Arabidopsis thaliana: one gene and its partner. The protein of the gene in region 1 interacts with the protein of each later gene in a pairwise test. Each region holds a gene or a part of one and is shown on either strand. Other genes may lie near its edges.

Region 1 (11,259 bases):
TTGCATATTGTCTAATGTCTTTCCGAAACAAATTGTTTCACTTTGGTTTTCTTATATTGTGTTCTGTTTTTGTTGTGTCGTTTAAAGTTTAAAAGGTGTAGTTGTTTGAACTTTGAACCTAGGGAATTGGATCAAAAATAAAGTTGGGTTTTAATATTGATTAAACCAATATTGGGTTCACGGTTTTAGTATATGAAACCATTAAAAACAACGCCATAGCTAATCAATTTTTAATACATTTAAATAAAAAACTGTACCAATAATTATTAAGACCAGCTTTGATTCCCATTATTAATTCATATTAAAAAAAATGTGAATGTAAATGCTAAATTTGATGGACCTTCATGAAAAAAAAAATTCTCTCTTTCCACTAATTAATTCTTCTACTATATATTAACAAGTTAGACCATTTTCAATGATTGTCTCTATTTTTTCTTGTAAATACAGAGAAAAAATAGAAATCTCTATTTTTACTCCAATGGTTCCTAAAAATAGAAATCTTTATGTTAGAGATAAAAATAGAGATGAGTTAAAGATGCCCTTAAGATTCTTCTGATCTATTAAAACTTTTGTAGAAGCATGAGACAGCACACGAAAGTGGAACCTTATAGCAAAACGATCCCAAAATAGACCAATTTCGTCTCTTTTTCTCAAACCTCTGCTATTTATCTTGACTAAGAATTAAAATATTTATTAAAATGAAATTGTTTAGGTTTTACAAAATTTGTTAAAACATGGAAGCAAAAACCATACTCAGAATTTCAACCATCGACAGAAGTAACTTCACCTTTTACCAAAAACAAAAAAGACCATCGAGAGAAGCAATTCAGCTCACGAGTCAGATGAAGTGATAATCCCAAGGAAGAGGATAAAAGAGAAGTAACTTGACCAGAAGAGGATAATCCTGGATTTGGAGATAGAGATACATAAATCGACGAGTACAGAGAGTTCTAAAAGAGAAAACTCATATATCCACATACATAATATTGTGAGATCTATATGTTTCTTGTGTGAGAAGTAAACACTCAAAGCCCTAAATCTCAATAACATGTTAATACAACTTAGGATATGCTTGTGAAACAATTTCAAACATAAAAGAAAAACAACGATATAGAGTAATAGAGAGGTAAAATAATGATGTGAATGATTTCCTTTACTTGTATTTTTCGACTTTATGAAGTGTTTGTGTTAATTTTCATATTCACTTACGTTCACCGGTTCATATAATATGTCGCTCATATAATATGTAATATTGTTCCATATTAACAATGAATTTATACGATCTTTTTTATTTGTAAGATAGAACATAAGGGTAGATTCTTGGTAAATGCCACCAATGCTTTCAGTTGTGTGTTTGACAAGGCAACGCATTCATGGTTTTCAAATTTCAATATTTGATTGGATACAATTTTCTCTAATATCTGTATTTTGATCGTTTTGGGCCTTTTGGCCAATAGTGTAAAAAGCTTAGCCAGGTCATAGGTTAGCTGAGGATATATCTGTCTACATTCTTATTTTAGGGTTTAGAGAATATATAGATGTTTGTTTGAGGAAGAAGAAACCCCAATAAAGCCTTAATTATCACCCATTATTAGAATTTGCCTTCTAATTCTATCTTTTTCTTAAATCCATTATTCTTCTCAACCTAAACCTTTTTTCTCTCTCCCTTCATCTTCAAGCAAGGGGTTCCAATTCCGGTAGGAATGTATTGAAGAAAGAGAGGGTATAGAAAATGGCGAGTGGCGGAAAGGGGGAGAAGATATTGGTTTCGGTAAGGGTAAGGCCGCAGAACGAGAAAGAGAAGGCGAGGAATGATATATGTGATTGGGAATGTGTAAACAACACAACAATAGTATGCAATAACAATTTGCCTGAGAGGTCTCTCTTCCCCTCTACCTATACATTTGGTAAGATGTTCAGAAATATTCAAGGCTGATTCAACCATTGTGGAATCATGATGCTAAGATTTTTTTTAAATTTTGTTTTACAGACAAAGTGTTTGGATTTGATTCTCCCACGAAACAAGTCTATGAAGATGGAGCGAAGGAGGTTGCTCTTTGTGTTCTCGGCGGAATCAACTGTAACCAAAAAACAACCTTAAATACTTTGATCTAATTTGTCTTTGTAACAATGAATTTGGTTTGACACATTTGGTTTTGCAGCAAGTATTTTCGCATATGGACAGACAAGCAGTGGGAAGACGTATACAATGTGTGGCATCACTAAATTTGCAATGGATGACATTTTTTGTTACATTCAAAAGGTTTGAACAAAAACCCTGCGGCATTGACATCTCTTTCTTATTTCTTCCTTCATAAGTAACCAAACTTTTTCATTTTCTTCAGCATACGGACCGCAAATTTACCCTCAAATTCTCTGCGATTGAGATCTACAATGAAGCTGTGAGGGATCTCCTAAGTGGGGATAATAATCAACGGAGGCTCCTCGATGATCCAGAGGTACACATCGCGTGTTTTTCGATATTATGCTATCATATTGTGTTAGACCCACTCATTTCCATCCGCTTGCTTCATCAGAGAGGAACCGTCGTTGAGAAACTTATTGAGGAGACCATCCAAGACAGAACACATCTAGAGGAACTTCTTACAGTCTGTGAAAGTGAGTAACATGCCCGGGCTTACAAATATTTCAATTAAGTTGAACGTTAACTAATGTACCAGTGTTGTTGCAGCTCAGAGGAAGATTGGAGAGACCTCCCTGAATGAAGTTAGCTCTAGATCACATCAAATACTCCGGCTGGTACATATTCTCAGTTAATCCATCCTTTTGTTCGTCGATTCTAACTTTTCATCCTCGCTATGCTAAACAATGCATTTCCTGCAGACAATCGAAAGCACTGGTCGAGAATATTCTCCGGATAGCTCAAGCACTCTTGCAGCGTCCGTGGTATTATACAATTACAATGAGTAGTGTTTTTGATTGATTAAGCTTACTACCTTTTTCTTTCTCTGCTGACATGTGTTTTTGGTTCTCTGCCTCTCAAGTGCTTCATTGATCTGGCTGGAAGTGAACGTGCTTCTCAGACTTTATCTGCTGGTACAAGATTGAAAGAAGGTTGTCATATAAACAGGAGTTTACTTACTCTTGGAACGGTCATCCGCAAACTAAGGTTCGATCCATGTGATATAGCTCAATCTCAGGTGGAGAATTTACTTAAATCAACAGCAGAAGAGCGGTCTTCTAGGATGGATGAACAATCCATGTTTAGCTCCATGGATTTTGATGCTGATTTCCGAAGAAGAAGCTATGATTCAACAGATCTTGGAGAACCTAGTATCATCAATAACTTAACCGAGAGGAACTTTGAGTTTTTGGAAAATTCTGAAGAAGATGATTTCCTGCTAGATGATAAGACCCCTCAATTTTCGAGGCATAACCTGTATGATGACTGGGAAGAGTTGGTTCAAATAACCGACGAAAGACTGGAAGATGCATGCAAAGAAGTTAGATGCATTGAACCTGAAGCTGAGCAGAGTAGTGGACAACCAGCAGCATGCGAAAGCCATGACTCATTAGACGACATTGTTGATAAGATAGCTATCTCTGAGGTTCTCTCACCTAGAAAGGAAGAAACTTTACCAGGTCTGGAACACGAACAAAGCTATAACCCTTCTACAGGTATTGAGAAAGCCGAGAATGAAGACATGGAGATTAGCATACCTGCAGCAAAGGAAGAAACTTTACCAGCTCTAGAATACGAACAAAGCTATAACTCTTATACAGGTAATGAGAGAGCCGAGAATGAAGTCATGGAGATTAGCACACCTAGAAAGGACGAACCATTATCAGCTCTGGAATACGAACAAAGCTATAACTCTTCTACAAGTAATGAGAAAGCCGAGAATGAAGATATGGAGATTAGCACACCTGCAGAAAAGGAAAATGTTGACTTATCTTTAAAAACAATAGATGTGAATGCTAAGCCTGAGACCTATGAGCTAACTCTAAAGAACTCGGATTTGGAGATAGGCCCATCAGTTGAAGCTCAAGAATCACAGGAATCTGTGAATGAAGAGGAACAAATGAAGAATGAAGAGAGGAAAATGAGTCCTTCCACAAAGCAAGCTGAGCAATGCTTAAATAAAGAAGAAAATGCTCAGTCAGAACAGCAATCAACGGAAGACTGTGAATTGAATTCACTCCCTATTAATAACCAATCAGAAGCAACAGTCGAAGTGGAGTTAACACCCAACGATGCTAAGTTAGATGAGGATGCGACATCTAGAGATAAGTGGGAGAGCAAACAGCAACAAGAGGCTGATAAAGATTGTAACGAATCATCTGTCTGCAAAAATATTGGGACAGATGATAATGACAACGACACTTACATGGCTTTGAAAGAAAAAGTTAAGGAGATGCAGAAGAAAATTGAATACCTTATGAGCATGCACACAGCAGAACAACAACAATCACCCTCCTTCAGAAGAGATTTCAAGAGTCCTCCAGAATATTTTACTGCCAAAAGAAGCCGAAGTTGCAGAGAAAATCTCTTGAGTGTTAGATCTCCTCATTGGTTTGAGAGTTTGGAAGTTAGTAACAATACATCACCTACCTGGAGGGTTATGCAGACAAAAGCTTCTCCTGGAAGACCCAACACTTCGAGCATTTCCTTTGATTCAGGGAGTTCTACCTCCATTGATACGCGTAGCCTGAAAGACTATGATCCTGAGATGGGCAATAGCTTCCGTGAATTTGTAGCAGGGCTTGAGGAAATGGCAAAGAAGCATCACTCAATTGACTCGACACCGGAGCTAGATTATGGGATTCCATACGCTCCCACAAAAACCGAAAGAATGGAGATCAGACCGGAAAGCCCTGCAGATAGCGTTAGAGGAAACGAGAATGCATTGCCAAATCCTCAGGATATAAATAAAGAAACCACAGATGCCACCAATAATCAGTCACAGAGAGAGCAGGTTGGTGATTCGGTAAGCCAAAAAAAATATTTTCTTGGGGAGACAAAAACTTCTTTCGTTTCTCAACAGTTTGGATGATCACAAAATGCAGGTAGAAGAAGCAAAACCTAAGGAAACAGATTCCACAGAGGCTTCCCAGGAGAAACTACAGGTAGCTGCTAATGGACAATATTCAATCAGTTCTTCAGACTTTGAGAGACAGCAAAGGAAAATAATTGAGCTTTGGGCAGCATGCAATGTACCACTGGTTCACAGAACCTACTTCTTTTTGCTCTTCAAAGGTGATCCTTCAGACTATGTTTATATGGAAGTTGAACTTCGAAGGCTATCTTTTCTGAAGCAGACGATATCTAATGACATGGAAACATCAAGGTATTTTTCTGCAACACCTTTTTAACGAGTCTCATCAATATCAATCATATACTCATAAGTATGCTAACCAATTCCTTTGGTGTCTAATCAGGATGCAAACAGTGAAGGCACTCACACGCGAGAAGGAATGGATTTCCAAACAATTACCAAAGAAGTTTCCATGGAACCAAAGAATAGGGCTTTACCAAAAATGGGGCGTGGAGGTGAACTCAAAGCAGAGAAGCCTGCAAGTGGCGCACAAGCTGTGGACCAACACCCAAGATATGGACCACATAAAAGAAAGTGCTTCTCTTGTGGCTAAGCTGCTTGGATTTGTTGAGCCAAGTCGAATGCCGAAGGAAATGTTTGGCCTCAGCTTGTTACCTAGAACCGAAAACGTAAAATCATCTGGCTGGAGATTTACCAAATCATTCTCTGCTATACGCTTGACCAGATGATAACCAGAGCACAATTATAAAACATAAACAAGACAGAAGTCTCCAAACACTGATAGTTAAGTTGTGAAAGGCTTGAATGTAAGATAAGTCAAGTTCTGCTTGTACCTGATTGCGAAAGAATCCAAAATTGTAGCCCTTATGTTATAGTTTAGATCAAGGAAAAGGGTGTGCCAAGAACGTTAATTTTTTTGTGTTCATTTATAAACACTAACTTAGAGAGAGAATTTACAAAACAAAGAGAATCTCGCAAGCTCAGACATGCTACATATGAGTATATTATGATGCAAGAACAGAGCCTTCAGTGATTTTCCACCCTGACTTGGACCAGAAAACTTCGTATCTTGTTGTGTAGGTTCTGACATCAGTAGCATTGTTTTCTGGATGAACCAAATCAGATAGACAAGCAGACTCCTCCAGAGTTGCTTCCACCAGAGCACGGGTTCCATCTGCTGAGACTGTCACACTGTCAACAGATAGTTTCAACAGTGTATAATCATAAACCAACCCAAGCTGCGCAGTTTCAGCTGCTCTGTCAGTCCAAATCTTCAGCATTCGCCCATCCAAAACCTATAAATAACAGAATCAAACAAGGCACCAGACTATAATCATGTCCAACAGTTTTCACACAATTGATTGAATTGTAGATTTATTCCCTCACCTCTGGTAACATTTCTATGCGGTGATCAGGCCCAAAAGCCAGAGACTTAATCTTCTGCCACTTGGATACTATATTCTCTGCAGTCCTAGCATCCATTCTGGGAAGTGCTTCTGAATCGTCAGCTCTGACTGACCCTAAATCGAAAAGAAAAAAATCAAGGAAAGAAAAGTTGGACAAAGCCACACTAAGGCAATCTCTAATCCTACGTTATTCTAAACAGAAATGTTGAGAGTGAAATTTACATTTCTGTCTACAGTTTGATCAAAAAATTCAAGCAGCATAATTAGTGAAATTTACTCAGCAACTTGTTAATCTTGGTACAACTTTTGGGACATGTATTAAGTGGGAACTATGTTCTTAGCTCACAAAACAAGCATATTTTGAGCAATGCAGATATATGAAAATTGCATCATTTAATCATACCTATGGTAGCGACATCAGATTCCATAGAAGAAACCATATCCTTGCGTTGAAAAGATGAGCTGCTTTTAAGAAAATACTTCTGGCTGAACAGTGAAATCAGTCCAATTGCCACACCAGCAGCTAGGATCTTCACACTTGCCTCCTTTAACATATCAGCAACGGACATTTCAACAGTAGTTTCATCAACGCTACTCTCTGAGACCCCAGCTCGAATTGCATAATCATTAGTTTCAAAGTTTTCAGAGGGTCTTACAGCTTCTGCAATAAAGACACCAGGCTCACCATCACGGCCTACATTGTTACCAACAGGATCTACACTAAACACTGTCTCTTGCACATCCTTGGGTTCAGCCGAGTTTCTATCTGTATAGCGGGAAGGAAAAACTTTCTGCAGTGCCTGCATAGCACTAGCTTTCACATGCTCGGCTCCAATCCTTGCCATAGCTGCAGCAGCAGCTAAAGGAGAACCCTGAACTACCTCCACTCTTTCCAAGTAACTCAAAACCATAGGATCATCATAGTAGTCCCCGAGTTTAAATTTTTTATCTTTGGTGTCTCTGAACCTAGGAAAGACAACCCCTGCCAACCAGGTTTCCAACAATTTGCATAGTCCAGGGAGATCATCATTGTCATCACGATTTGAATTCTCCAAAACAAACTCCACAATAGCTGGATTCCTATATTGTGAATCCTCACTGTCTAAGCCCAACCACATACGGCATTCATCAACTTTGCCTATAAGCAGTGCACAGAGTCCCCTTTCTAGACCGAAGTCTATCTCCCAATTATTCCGTGTATCATACAACATCGCAGGAATCTCCATAGCCATTACCTTAGCCTGCTGAAGTTGCTGGAATTGCTTATCAGCATCCTGTAAAAGGTGTGGCTTCTTACCAATAAAAGCTTGAGCCACAAGAGCAAGTGCAACTTCGTAAACTTCAAATGACTCTGCTGGAATATTGCTTGGGGTAGCTACAAAAAGATCAACCTACCACACAACATACATTAAAATGAGAAACCTAAAGTTATATCATGCTAAAGAAATTAAAAAAAGGTATCTAAACTGTATACCTGCTCAGCAGCTGTCATTCGTAAAAACGCCTCATTCATAAACTTCTCACGGGTCAAACCCCCAACAAGAGCTGATGCTCCACCTCCTCCAACAGACCACAAAATATTCCGCACACCGCTTAAACCATTTAGTCTTTTCGCAGCGTAATCATCACCAAGCGGTAAGCCAAGTAGCTCCAAGACATAACGCGGAGTGATCTCTTCCAAAGTCTCATCAATTTGTGCACGTAAATCCGGTGCAAGGCTACTTGCTCCTTCCTCCTACACAAGACTCAATAACAAAGTATCAAATCAAGAAAGTTCTTATAAAGCCAACGCTCGTCAAATTACCAAAGCAAGTCAAACTACCTGTAAAAGCTTCAAAGCTTCCTCAACAAACTCATAACCAGTTATAAAATCAGGTGGATCCAATGCCATAGCATCCCTCGAGACATCGAGAAACGCAAGCGCCATAACTAAAACCACATCTTGCTTAAACGACTTAGGCAACCTCTCCTTAAGCAGAGCCTCACCAACCCGAAGAACTATCTCAGTCTCACCACCTTCTTGCAATACACAGAGAGCACCAGGAACCTTCACTAGATAAAAGTTCCTTCCTTTATCCAATTCATGAAATTAAAACGAAGAAACTTTATTATTCCGAAATCGAAATTACCTTATCCCAAGGAACATCAGTGATGACTGTAGCTTCTTCATCATCAAGAAGACCTTCATTGTACTCTCTTCTAGACCGAGGATTAGACAGAGTTTCGCAAGCAGCTTGAAGAATCTGTCTCCGGCTGATTAAAGCGTCGTCGCTGAAACCGAATTGCGGCGGTTTCGAAACCCTAGCTTCGAATGCTCTTCTGATTCCATCGGTTAAGAAATGTGTTTGAGCTCCTAATACCTGGTAGAAATCAATGGGGATGGGGACGTGGCGTTCGGGACGATCAATAGATGGTGGCGGAGAGACGAGAGTGGCGGTGGTGGTGGCGGTGGCGAAGGAGGAGGAGGAGGAATCGGAGGTGAAATTGAAGTCGGAGAGAAGACGGTCGGCCCATTTGCTGGCGGAGCAGATAGTTGTAGAGGTGTTGTGGCTACGTCGGAGCTTTGTCGTCGCCGGTGGTAATCGGCATAATTGGAATGGGGAGAGACCAATGCCGACGTGACTCAGAGCTTCCATGGGAGTGTCTTTTTAGGCTACTACAAAAACTTTGTTCTGTTTTACATATTGAAGAGACTGTTTGGTCGTCTAGGGTTTATGGAATTTTGATTTTGAGTAGTATAAGTTAAATCAAAAAACATCACCAGCTACTGAAAAAAATAAAAAACAATCTATGATGTTACAGTCGCCACGGACTTTATGATGTTAAATCGTCTAAATAATCTATTCCACCTAAGAACCGTTGGAGTTGCCTTCATTTTACACATATAGAGCAACAGTAAACCAATGACTTAATTCTTGACTACTTTAAAGTTTAAACCCACAAAACCCCATCAATTCCCTCTCTTTTCTTAACATCCAACTGAAATGTGTAAAATTCGAAACTATTATGACATGTAAATGTAAAAGCAAACAGAGCCAATGAATCCTATAGCCAAGCAAAATCTTGTTGAAATCAAGACAAATTGCTTATAATTGTATTCTCCTTAATGCAGAACAGTAATCCATTTCAGTTTACATAGCAAGAGGAGTGTCACATAAAATTTGGACAATACTAACTTTCGAAATAGATACACTAATGTTGGAGCAGAGCTTCGTTACAATATTTTTTAAAGTTGACAGCCTCGTCGGTCAGGAAGTCACTGCAAAAAAGTAAAATTTTAAATGTTCAGAAGGAGAATTAGTTAAATAAGACATCTAAGAAAGAGTCCATAGAGACTAACCACAGTCGCTCAGCCATGCGTCCCACTTCCCATCTTGGACTCCATGGGTACTCAGTGAGGAGATTCGATTTCACTGGCACACTCGATTGGTTTAAATGCTGCATATAAAAAGCTTGTCAATTTTTATACCTAAATAAATAAAGAGAAAGTCGAAGCCTTCTACTTAGTTCGTTTACAAATAGTTTTGATACCTGACAACTTTGCAGCATCAGAGTTGGTTGCTGCTTCGGAAATTGAGTTGAAAAGAAGAAATGAACCTACAGCAAAGCCAAAAACCCAATAATCCACTGCTACATATTTTTGTGAAATTGAGATTTCTCTAGAAGACAAGTATGAAAATCCACTTTGGCAAAGATTGAATAGAACTTTTTAAACAAGGCTTGAATAGTGATAGAATAATTACCATGAAAGTAAATTGTCCAGAGGCATTAAGGAATGTAGCCTTACGGCAAAAGGTCTAGCAAGAAAAACAAATAAGAAAGTTAAGAAGCTCGGAAATAGTTCTAAATATATGTCAAGGCGTGCGAAGAAATGCTTACAGGATCGGCTTCAAGAGGTCTTCCCAGATTAAGACTTAATGCCTCAATAAAACTCCTCCTTAAATCAATTGCAGCAACAGCTTCATGGATCTAGAAATTAAGGTAAATAAGGCACTCGTACTCAGGAAATTAAGAAGATTTAGTTTAACTGACCTGTCTCTCAAGTGTTTCTTCAAGATGGGGAAGATATTCAGCCAAGCACCTTTGAAATAGAAATGTAAGTATTACTGATTAATACATGTATGGTTTGCAGGTATAGTGAACTGTGTGTACATCTGTAACTAACTTACATCCCGTCCATCCATGGAGAAAGTTTAACATCCTCAACAGAGAATAGCGATTTTAAATCATAATATGATACTAATTTCAAACGAGGTGCTGACGGTGCTGCTTCATATTTCCGAAGAATCGGGTATACTACCTGGATCCGCAACAAGTTTCTCAAGAAGATGCCAGCAATTTTAACAGAGTGAAGAAAAGGATAAAATTATAAGAACGAAGAGAAAACCTGAAGATAAATCTTCTGCTGATGCTTCCAAGGGCAGCCAACCACCATTTTGTTTATGTTCATATCCATCACAAGAGGTACTGCAAACTTGACTTCCTCTGGCTACACTAAAAAATAAAGGCAATGGAAAGTCAAATGCATACAATGCATCTAACTTCAAAGATAAATAATCAAAAATCTTGACAACAATAAATACCTTGTCAACTCCTGAAGCCATTTGCATTTCAATTCCCTGAGAATCAGCAAACAAGAAGAACATAAACATAGAGAACAATAAGAAATTCTAACTAAAATAGTGGTTACAGTTGTTCCGAACCAAAATTACTTATCAAACCGTAGTTAGTGACAAGCCTAACATTAAACAGAATCTATACGCTCGAAGAGGCCTTAGCTACACAAACAAAACTAATCATGATTTCTATCGTAAACAAAGTAACAAGAGTGATAC
Region 2 (9,084 bases), on another chromosome or scaffold:
CCCTAGAAAACTCTCAATTCCGAGAGAACAGAAATGCTTACTTGGCTTGACAATGGATATGGATCTCAATGGATGTTTGGCATGTCTTGATGGATTTACCACGCCAGCCCTGTTTCTTCTTGCACACAGTTCTCTCAACCTTCTTGATGACGTAGCAGCCGTCGGAAGTGGAATCTCCGAGCTGTTGATCGGTGATATCGTCAGAGGAGGAGGAATGGAGGATGAATCTTTTTGCCAGAATCTTTTCTTCTTCTTCTTTTGTGTGAGTGAGAGAGAGAGTGTGAGAATCTTGTAGAGGAAGATGTTTGTGTTTTAAAGTGGCTGACTTTAACCGGGCTAGAGTAATCAACCACACTCACATTTCTACCCACTTTTTTTTACCAGGCTTCAGTGTGGGGTTTTTATTTATCGTAAAATGTTTCCGACTTGGCCAATTTTTATGTCGGAGTTATTTTTGATGTCAAAATTTCATTGGTTTGTTGAAGTCGTAAGAAATCCAGAGTAATACGTAGAAACGAAACCCATTTCCACACACACTTATTCACATTACATTAAATCATCGCAAACGTCGCAAATTGCGAACCTACACGGAAGACAGCCTTAAGATAGTTGTATTTACAAAGCAAATTTCATCGACTACTGTGGTAGAGTAATAGAGTTATATATGTCTTATTATGTTATATGTGTAATTTTGCCTTTCATGTTGTCGTGAATGACTCACCACATCCACACTTTGTCGCGTTTGGATTGACGAACACAAACTCAGACCTGTGCCAATACAATGCAAACATGTTTACCATGAATAAAGAGAGTGTCAAGATTGGCACGTGAAAGGGCACAAACCTAAGCTTATCGTCCACGAAATCCATCTCTGTCCCAATCACATGCATCACCGCCTTTGGATCCACAAGGATCTTTACACCTTTCTCCTCGACCACCTCATCAAACTTCCCTTTCTCCTCTGAAAACAAAGATCATAGCAGAACAACGCCAAATAGGAAGCCTCAGGAGTCAGGACACATTTAAGTCATCTATTAAAAGTTCTCAAAAGTGCTACAAAACAAAAGGTCTTAGGTTCCTAGGAAGGTGACAAAACCTACCCTAAAACTTGACTCTGAACCTGATAGAATATGTGCCTTTAATTATTACATACATCTCTCTAATCAATATGAACTCCCTCCTCATCATGAGCATCAAATATATATCAACATAATTTATGAGGAAAAAATCAACAAAAAAGAAATATATATGTGGGAAAAAATGGAAATTACGGGCGTAATTGAGGACGTAAGATAGGCCATTGCATCCTTTGGCTTCAACAGCAAGGCGGAGGAAAGGTTTTTGCTGATGCTGCAGAAGTTGGCGAATCCTCGCAGCCGCCGTGTCACTCAATGCTAATACTTGCTTTCTCATCGCCGACCAAATATTCGAGGATTTCAAATTTGTGCTAAAGATTTTTCAGAGAGGAAGAAGACGTCCAAGCAAATTTGTTACAAGTTGATATTTAAAGAGCCATTGTACTTTAATATATAATTTAGTGAACAAGTCTTAAGAACTGTTTAGGCCTGTAAAGCCCGAAAGAATTAGTATTAGTAATATATAAAGTTTGTATTGAATATGGGATGATGAAACGATCTAGCTTCCAGAAAAAGTCTTAATTACACAACATAATAATAACTACCAAACGTGTCAACGCTCCCGTATTCGTCCACTAACATTCTCCCATGAACCCTAAGTTATAAGTCCTCCAAGGCTACGATCACATTTACAAGCGGAAAATTGTTGTGTTTGATTTGTTTCTTGTTTTATTCTCACTCTAAGCCTCTGGTTATATAGCATTTTTTGGCGGAAAAGCTAATCGCAAAACATGAGATTATAATTATGCGACATGTCAAATTGTTATGAAAACATTTTATATAATAAGAAATTTATTTGGTATAGTATCATATGAAACAAAGAGTCAATACAATATCAATGTCATTATATGTGCTCATTATGTTAAGTTGAGTCAAGGCACTTTACTAAGAACACTTCAATAATTATATTTAACTATTTCTGTGTATTCATACGTATGATACAAGGTTTGGTGTTCTATATACTTTATCCTCATCCCTTGAATTTTAGTTGGGCCAAAATAATGACATTAAAATTATAATATGTTGCTATATAAAAAATTGTTACAATTTGGATGCAACATAGAGAGATCATTAGCGAGACATTGGGTGGATCGTGCAATTCATTTCTGTTTTGTCAACTAGCAATTCAAATTATGGCGACATTATATACATTAATCCATATTACACAAAAACTAATAAACTATATATGTCTTGGATTCAAATAGAAGAAATAAAAGTCAACGAGTTTGCCCTATAAATGATTCTATGCTTTCAAATAGTTAGCTACAAGCTCATCAATCTCTGCTCTATTAAAAAAAGAAGAAGAAGCAAACACAAAACAACAACAAAGAAATATGGCAAAGCTCATAGTTAACTTCTCTGCTCTCTTGATGATCATCTTGTTGGTTTCTAATGGTAATTTTAAGATTTTCTTAACTTCCTTTGTCCTATATTAATATCGATATGGATGTGAAAAGATTAATGTGAGAATGGTTAAAACAGGACTCCCAAAGGCGGTAGCCCAAACATGCTTTAAAGGTGAAGCTCAAGAGGGTGTGTGTGTTAAAGTTGACGGCTCAAAATTGTGTGACCTTCTTTGCAGGGCAACCAACACAACTTGGTTTGGGGCATGTGAAGTGGAAGACAACGAGACGCACTGTCACTGCTACGGACCTTGTTAAGTATCTCATCCGGACGCAAAACCAAATATGAAACGTGAATAATTGTGTATCAGTACCTAAATAATGTGTGCATTGCTTATGATCAATGTCACATATCTACATGTGTGTTCCATGTTTGTGTGTTTTTATTTTATCGCTTTCAATAAATTTGCATCAGCACCGTAAATGTAGCTGATGCGATAAATGAATGTAAGATTAAATCTGTTTATTATGTTTGCTTTTGGTGTTCCATTATCTCTCCTATATATATGTCCTCTTCTTTTTCTTCATTCTTGTCATTAATCTATATGTATGTGCTATTTTTTGTTGAACAAAGGCTAATGAGTCTTATCTATAACACCAAATCAACTCCTAATAGTAATAGAACTCTTAACCTAAACTCAAAAGAAGTAAAGTACAAGGAAAACTCTAATCAAAAGTTCAAAACCATATTCCTAAACCATGAAACATAAAGGAATATCACAACCTCGAAACTCTTTTGCCGTAACGACTAGAGTTGCTTTTTGTTTTTAGTTAATTCAAATGATGACATTATTGTTCCAACTATGTAATGTAGCCACCACATTTTTCTTGTAATTTTTTTTGTTTCCTTCATAAAATTCATTTAGCAAATTTACACAAAAAATTCAATGAAAGTACATGAAATGAAATTTAAAGTACAATCATTTCCCATAGTTTTTTTTCTTACCAACACCAACATAACAGTGATAAATTGGAACAAAATTTTACCAAAATAAAAATAAAAATTTTATGAACAAAAGCATTTTTTATATATTTTTTAATTATTGGGGGTTTAATGAATTTGAGATATTTACTAGTCAGAAAACACCAAAACCCTCCGTTTCGTGGGTTTCCTCCAGACCTTGAGCTCCTTGTTCAATTCACACTTTTTCTCTCCCAACTCTTCTTCCAGGTTTCCTCTGCTACTCTCAGGTTTCTCTTCTCCACTTCCCTCCAGCTTTATCCTTTTGATTTCGTCCTCCATCTTACTGTATTTACCCAAAAATCTAAGCTTTTCTCAGTGTTCTTCCATTTCTCTACTTTGTTTTCATGTAATGCTGCAAACTTCGCAATACCCATCTTCAATTTCTTCAATTCGTAATGGGAAAAAGCATTTTAGTTTAATTTGGGTTTTGTGGTTCCTCACTTGTTTCATTCTTCTAAGTCTTAAACCATCCACTGATTCTCAATTTCTGAGGATTTGATATCTATTGCTGGTTAACAATGGAGCATAGATGCGACTGGGTTTTGTTTATGTTAACTTTATGAATGTAAATCACACTGCTTTGTGGCTACTTTGTGGATTTCGTGTTTTACTTTGTGGCTGAATCATATAACTCTAAATTGAGAGCTTTGGGTTTGACCATTTAGCTTTTTATGAACAGGTCTTGTTAGGGAAGTAATCAGTGGAATTGGATTTAGTCTTTTGGTTCTGAATTTTGTAAAGTCCTGCAGTGATTGGTCTCATTATGGCAACTTACGTTTCACCGTGTTTTACTCCTTCGGATTCTCGGTTACTAACTGTTCTTAGAAAGAATGTTTTACCGGAGAATCATTTAGGCAGGTTGAACTCCATTAGAACGATTGACAGTAAGAAAAACCGAGTTGTTGTTGCCGCTCAGAAATCTGAATCTTCTCCAATCAGAAACTCTCCACGGCATTACCAAAGCCAAGCTCAAGATCCTTTCTTGAACCTTCACCCGGAAATATCTATGCTTAGAGGTGAAGGGACTAGTACAATAGTCAATCCAAGAAAGGAAACGTCTTCTGGACCTGTTGTCGAGGATTTTGAAGAGCCATCTGCTCCGAGTAACTACAATGAGGCGAGGATTAAGGTTATTGGTGTGGGAGGTGGTGGATCAAATGCTGTGAATCGTATGATAGAGAGTGAAATGTCAGGTGTGGAGTTCTGGATTGTCAACACTGATATCCAGGCTATGAGAATGTCTCCTGTTTTGCCTGATAATAGGTTACAAATTGGTAAGGAGTTGACTAGGGGTTTAGGTGCTGGAGGAAATCCAGAAATCGGTATGAATGCTGCTAGAGAGAGCAAAGAAGTTATTGAAGAAGCTCTTTATGGCTCAGATATGGTCTTTGTCACAGTATGTCCTCAAATCTTTATTATTACTATTGCATTTGTTCTTCTTAGTTATAAACTTTGATTGTAGAAAAAGAGGTATGTGTCATTTGTCAATCACTTATCAGCTAGTTCTGGTCTCCATCTGTCCAAAAGAGTGAGGTTTATATGTCTCTTCATCATTTTATAGGCTGGAATGGGCGGTGGAACTGGCACTGGTGCAGCCCCTGTAATTGCAGGAATTGCCAAGGCGATGGGTATATTGACAGTTGGTATTGCCACTACGCCTTTCTCGTTTGAGGGTCGAAGAAGAACTGTTCAGGCTCAAGAAGGGCTTGCATCTCTCAGAGACAATGTTGACACTCTCATCGTCATTCCAAATGACAAGTTGCTTACAGCTGTCTCTCAGTCTACTCCGGTAACAGAAGCATTTAATCTAGCTGATGATATACTCCGTCAGGGGGTTCGTGGGATATCTGATATCATTACGGTATAGCTTTTCTTATGGGCATCCTGTGATCATTTTTTTGTGTATGGCAAATGATTTACCAGCTACGTTTGTCCTTGATTTGTAGATTCCTGGTTTGGTGAATGTGGATTTTGCTGATGTGAGAGCTATAATGGCAAATGCGGGGTCTTCATTGATGGGAATAGGAACTGCGACAGGTAAGTTTGGAATGATGGATAAGCTCATTTAGCTGCATAGTTTCATAAGCAGAACCATTAGTCACTAGATATGTGTCGAAATAGTCTAATTGAACTAATGAGCTAGTAGATTGGTGTGGCAAAGAAACCAGTCTAGTGACTGGGATACTGAAAATGACCATATTATATTCACTGTTACTCAACTATTGTGCATCTATGTCATGATGTAATAATCAAAGTCATGAACCTTGAACTTCTTTTGCGCAAGGTTTTGTTTTGTTTGCAACGTGCTGATTCTTTCATGCTACTTGTAATCATTCAGGAAAGAGTCGGGCAAGAGATGCTGCGCTAAATGCAATCCAATCTCCTTTGTTAGATATTGGGATTGAGAGAGCCACTGGAATTGTTTGGAACATTACTGGCGGAAGTGACTTGACATTGTTTGAGGTTTTTGTCTCTCTCTCTCATCTTTGTTTCTTATCTCTATGTCGATAGATCCATAAACAATAACTGGATCTTGAGAGACGCATTGACAGGGTGTTAAAATCATTTATTTTCTTCCTTCCATAGACAACTTAGAGCAAAGCCTGATTTTGCTTCATACCCCTAAGATGCTCTATAGTTTTTCATACACTTTGGTCTTGTGTAGGTAAATGCTGCTGCAGAAGTAATATATGATCTTGTCGATCCAACTGCCAATCTTATATTCGGTGCTGTTGTAGATCCAGCCCTCAGCGGTCAAGTATGTCCTTTATAATGTTTCTTCTACTAAACATAGATAAGACCTCTAGAGATGATAGAATTGATGTTTTTTTTGGTAAAAGGTAAGCATAACCCTGATAGCTACGGGTTTCAAACGACAAGAAGAGGGAGAAGGACGAACAGTTCAGATGGTACAAGCAGATGCTGCGTCAGTTGGAGCTACAAGAAGACCCTCTTCTTCCTTTAGAGAAAGCGGTTCAGTGGAGATCCCAGAGTTCTTGAAGAAGAAAGGCAGCTCTCGTTATCCCCGAGTCTAAAGCCCAATCTAATCACTACCCTGCACACTGCAGCAATAACAAACGTGTGTGTACTGGTAGTCTGGTACTGCCTTCTGGGATACAGCAAGATGTGTTGATGTATGATCAAGAATCTGTGTGGGTGTGTATATGTTCTGTCACTGCCTCTGGTCGTGTTCTTGAATAGGTTGTTTTAGAAATCGGAGTTTCTCTCTATGTCACTTCCAAAACAAAAAAGGAGAAGAAGAATCACACTTCTCGAACCATAAACATACTTATAAGATTATGAGAGTTTTAGCAGAAATTATTGTCATTTTTCATTCAGTTAATAAAAAAATCAATAGCGATATACCAGCAAACAACTGTGACTTTCGAATAAAAAAAGTTCATCTCCGACGCATGATTCTGTGGCAATGTGCAGCAACCAAACAAAGAACCAACTTGGTTTCCATTTCATATGTTCAAAATAAAATTTGTTGATACATAGATATAGCTTGGGTCTAGTTTACACAGATCAAACACAGGTTACAACATCCGGACTTGTTTCCTTGAGAATTTTCCAGTGCAGGACAAGCCATCCATCAATCTATTATATGTAAAGATATCAGGCAACATATCTTTATCCAACATCTCGTTCACTAGAACTTCTCCTTCCTTTCTTCTCCCTTCTTTCGTGAACCCCGAAACCAAAACATGGTACGTTGTCTCATCGGGTTCATATCCTTTGCTTGATGCCAAAAGTCTCAATCTGTTTGCATCAGTAGAATGATCAGAACTGCAGAGATCCCGAAGAAGCAAGTTAAATGTCACACTATCGGGAAGAATTCCTGCATTCATCATCTTCTCCATAAACCCTGACGCTTTCTCTGTTCTTCCTGATTTCCTCAACCCTTCGACGAGTGTAGTACAAGCAATGAAACATGGGGTTTGGCCTTTCTTCCACAGCTCCTCCATCATCTCCATTGCTCTAACCGCCTTGTTTTCTCCGCAGAGTTTCTCAACCAAACTACCATAATCAAACTCACTAGGTAAAACCCTCTTGTTCAAAAGATCGAGCACCAATCCACAAGCATCGTCAACCCGACCTTCTCTACACAACCCATCAACAAGAATCTCACAAGTAGCTTCTGAGAATCTACAACCTAGCTCAATCATCTCATAAGCCATTTTAACACCTTCCTCGATTTTACCACTGCTCAAAAACCCTCTAATAAGAGTGTTGAAGCTAACCACATTCGGTTCACAACCTTTCTCCTTCATCTCCCTGAACAAATCCAATGCCAAATCAAACTTAGAGCTTCTACAATAACCATTGATGAGAATGTTAAACGTGCATACATCTGGCTTTGCTCTTTCCTTTCCCATCCTCTGGTAAAACCTTAAAGCCTTATCCATATCTCCAGATTTCACATATCCATTCACAACAGTGTTATAAACTCCAACATTTGGTTTACCATCGATCAATCTCTTCATAGTATCAAACGCTAACAAAGCATAATCCATTTTCCTAGCTCTACAATACGCATCAATGGCGGATCGGAAAATAGGTTCAAGCTCTGGACAAGAGAATATACCTGAGGAACAAGGACATGGATTCGCAGCTACAAAAGAGAGAAGACGATAAAGATCGTCAAACCGGTGCGTGGCGGCGAGTGATCTCGACATCCAGAGGAAAGAATCGTGATCATGACGGAAAGTGTCGAGTGTAGCTGCCCAATTAAAGACGGCGAAGTCATAATGAGCGTAGAGCGGATGGTTACGGATCTTGGAACGGAGGAATCCAAGAAGAGTTTGTGGCGTTAGTGTTTGATGGTGAGGGAGATTGTTCTCGAGGAAATTGACGAAATTGGAGTGTTTGGGAGATGGAGAGAGCGTAAGTGTCGGAGGAATTGAGATCTCCGGAAGCTTTGGTGGAGGATTAGGTATTCGGTAAATCTCAGGTAACGGTGGCGTAATCGGCGCCGGAAGATGATGAGACTTTGAGACGAGACTGATAACGTTCTTCTTGTTCCATCGCATCACTCTCTGTTTGTCAAACGAATCGATAAATGTTGGGCATTTTTATCGATTTCCAATTTTAAACCAAACCGGAATAAACCGATATCTAAACCCTAGAATATCTAGAACCAGATACGTCACTGGTGCTTACTGATTACAGTTTCAGTTCCAAAGATGAGAACTTTGAGCTCCCAATTATACTCCAATGGTGGTCTCACTTGGTTCCAGAAGAAGAATCAGAGCTCTCTGTTCATCAAGCATCTCAGAGTCTCTAAACCATCGAGGGTTCAGCTCATATCTGCTGTTCAATTCCGTCCGTGCATCGATATTCATAAGGTATGAAATCAATTTCACCGATTAGAAAATCCTCACTGGCTGTTGAGTGCAGTGAATTCATTTATGGATCTATCTCTGTGTGATGTGATTTTCGATAGGGAAAAGTGAAACAGATAGTTGGATCCACACTTCGTGACTTGAAAGAGGATGGTTCAGTTCTCGTTACGAATTTTGAATCGGATAAGTCTGCGGAAGAGTATGCAAAGATGTACAAAGAAGATGGGCTTACGGGT

The links.
Region 2: the proteins of ARC6 (region 1) and FTSZ2-1 interact in a two-hybrid assay, tested with the Arabidopsis thaliana proteins (3 studies listed by BioGRID, with this or other methods).

The regions. Positions count from the first base shown.
Region 1 is NC_003076.8:16,983,096-16,994,354, reverse strand, and holds ARC6 (Chaperone DnaJ-domain superfamily protein), read right to left. Parts: upstream 9,260-11,259; 5' UTR 9,061-9,259; coding exon 8,554-9,060; intron 8,472-8,553; coding exon 8,247-8,471; intron 8,160-8,246; coding exon 7,899-8,159; intron 7,816-7,898; coding exon 6,828-7,815; intron 6,539-6,827; coding exon 6,405-6,538; coding exon of another isoform or gene 6,393-6,404; exon of another isoform or gene 6,314-6,392; coding exon 6,023-6,313; 3' UTR 5,747-6,022; downstream 1-5,746. Other genes in the region: AT5G42490 (ATP binding microtubule motor family protein), read left to right, coding at 1,733-1,907, 1,991-2,080, 2,163-2,263, 2,346-2,459, 2,538-2,619, 2,693-2,760, 2,845-2,907, 3,006-4,949 and 2 more; AT5G42470 (BRCA1-A complex subunit BRE-like protein), read right to left, coding at 9,617-9,683, 9,765-9,862, 9,956-10,021, 10,168-10,221, 10,304-10,393, 10,457-10,505, 10,594-10,724, 10,812-10,913 and 1 more. UniProt on the Arabidopsis thaliana protein: Component of the plastid division machinery consisting in a binary fission accomplished by the simultaneous constriction of the FtsZ ring on the stromal side of the inner envelope membrane, and the ARC5 ring on the cytosolic side of the outer envelope membrane.
Region 2 is NC_003071.7:15,195,115-15,204,198, reverse strand, and holds FTSZ2-1 (Tubulin/FtsZ family protein), read left to right. Parts: upstream 1-3,595; 5' UTR 3,596-3,730; exon of another isoform or gene 3,731-4,182; 5' UTR 4,183-4,266; coding exon 4,267-4,899; intron 4,900-5,064; coding exon 5,065-5,364; intron 5,365-5,449; coding exon 5,450-5,540; intron 5,541-5,841; coding exon 5,842-5,966; intron 5,967-6,168; coding exon 6,169-6,261; intron 6,262-6,343; coding exon 6,344-6,538; 3' UTR 6,539-6,830; downstream 6,831-9,084. Other genes in the region: AT2G36260 (Iron-sulfur cluster biosynthesis family protein), read right to left, coding at 699-768, 844-961, 1,272-1,413; AT2G36255 (Defensin-like (DEFL) family protein), read left to right, coding at 2,471-2,531, 2,619-2,797; AT2G36240 (pentatricopeptide (PPR) repeat-containing protein), read right to left, coding at 7,043-8,536; APG10 (Aldolase-type TIM barrel family protein), read left to right, coding at 8,690-8,851, 8,950-9,084. UniProt on the Arabidopsis thaliana protein: Exhibits GTPase activity which converts GTP ligands to GDP.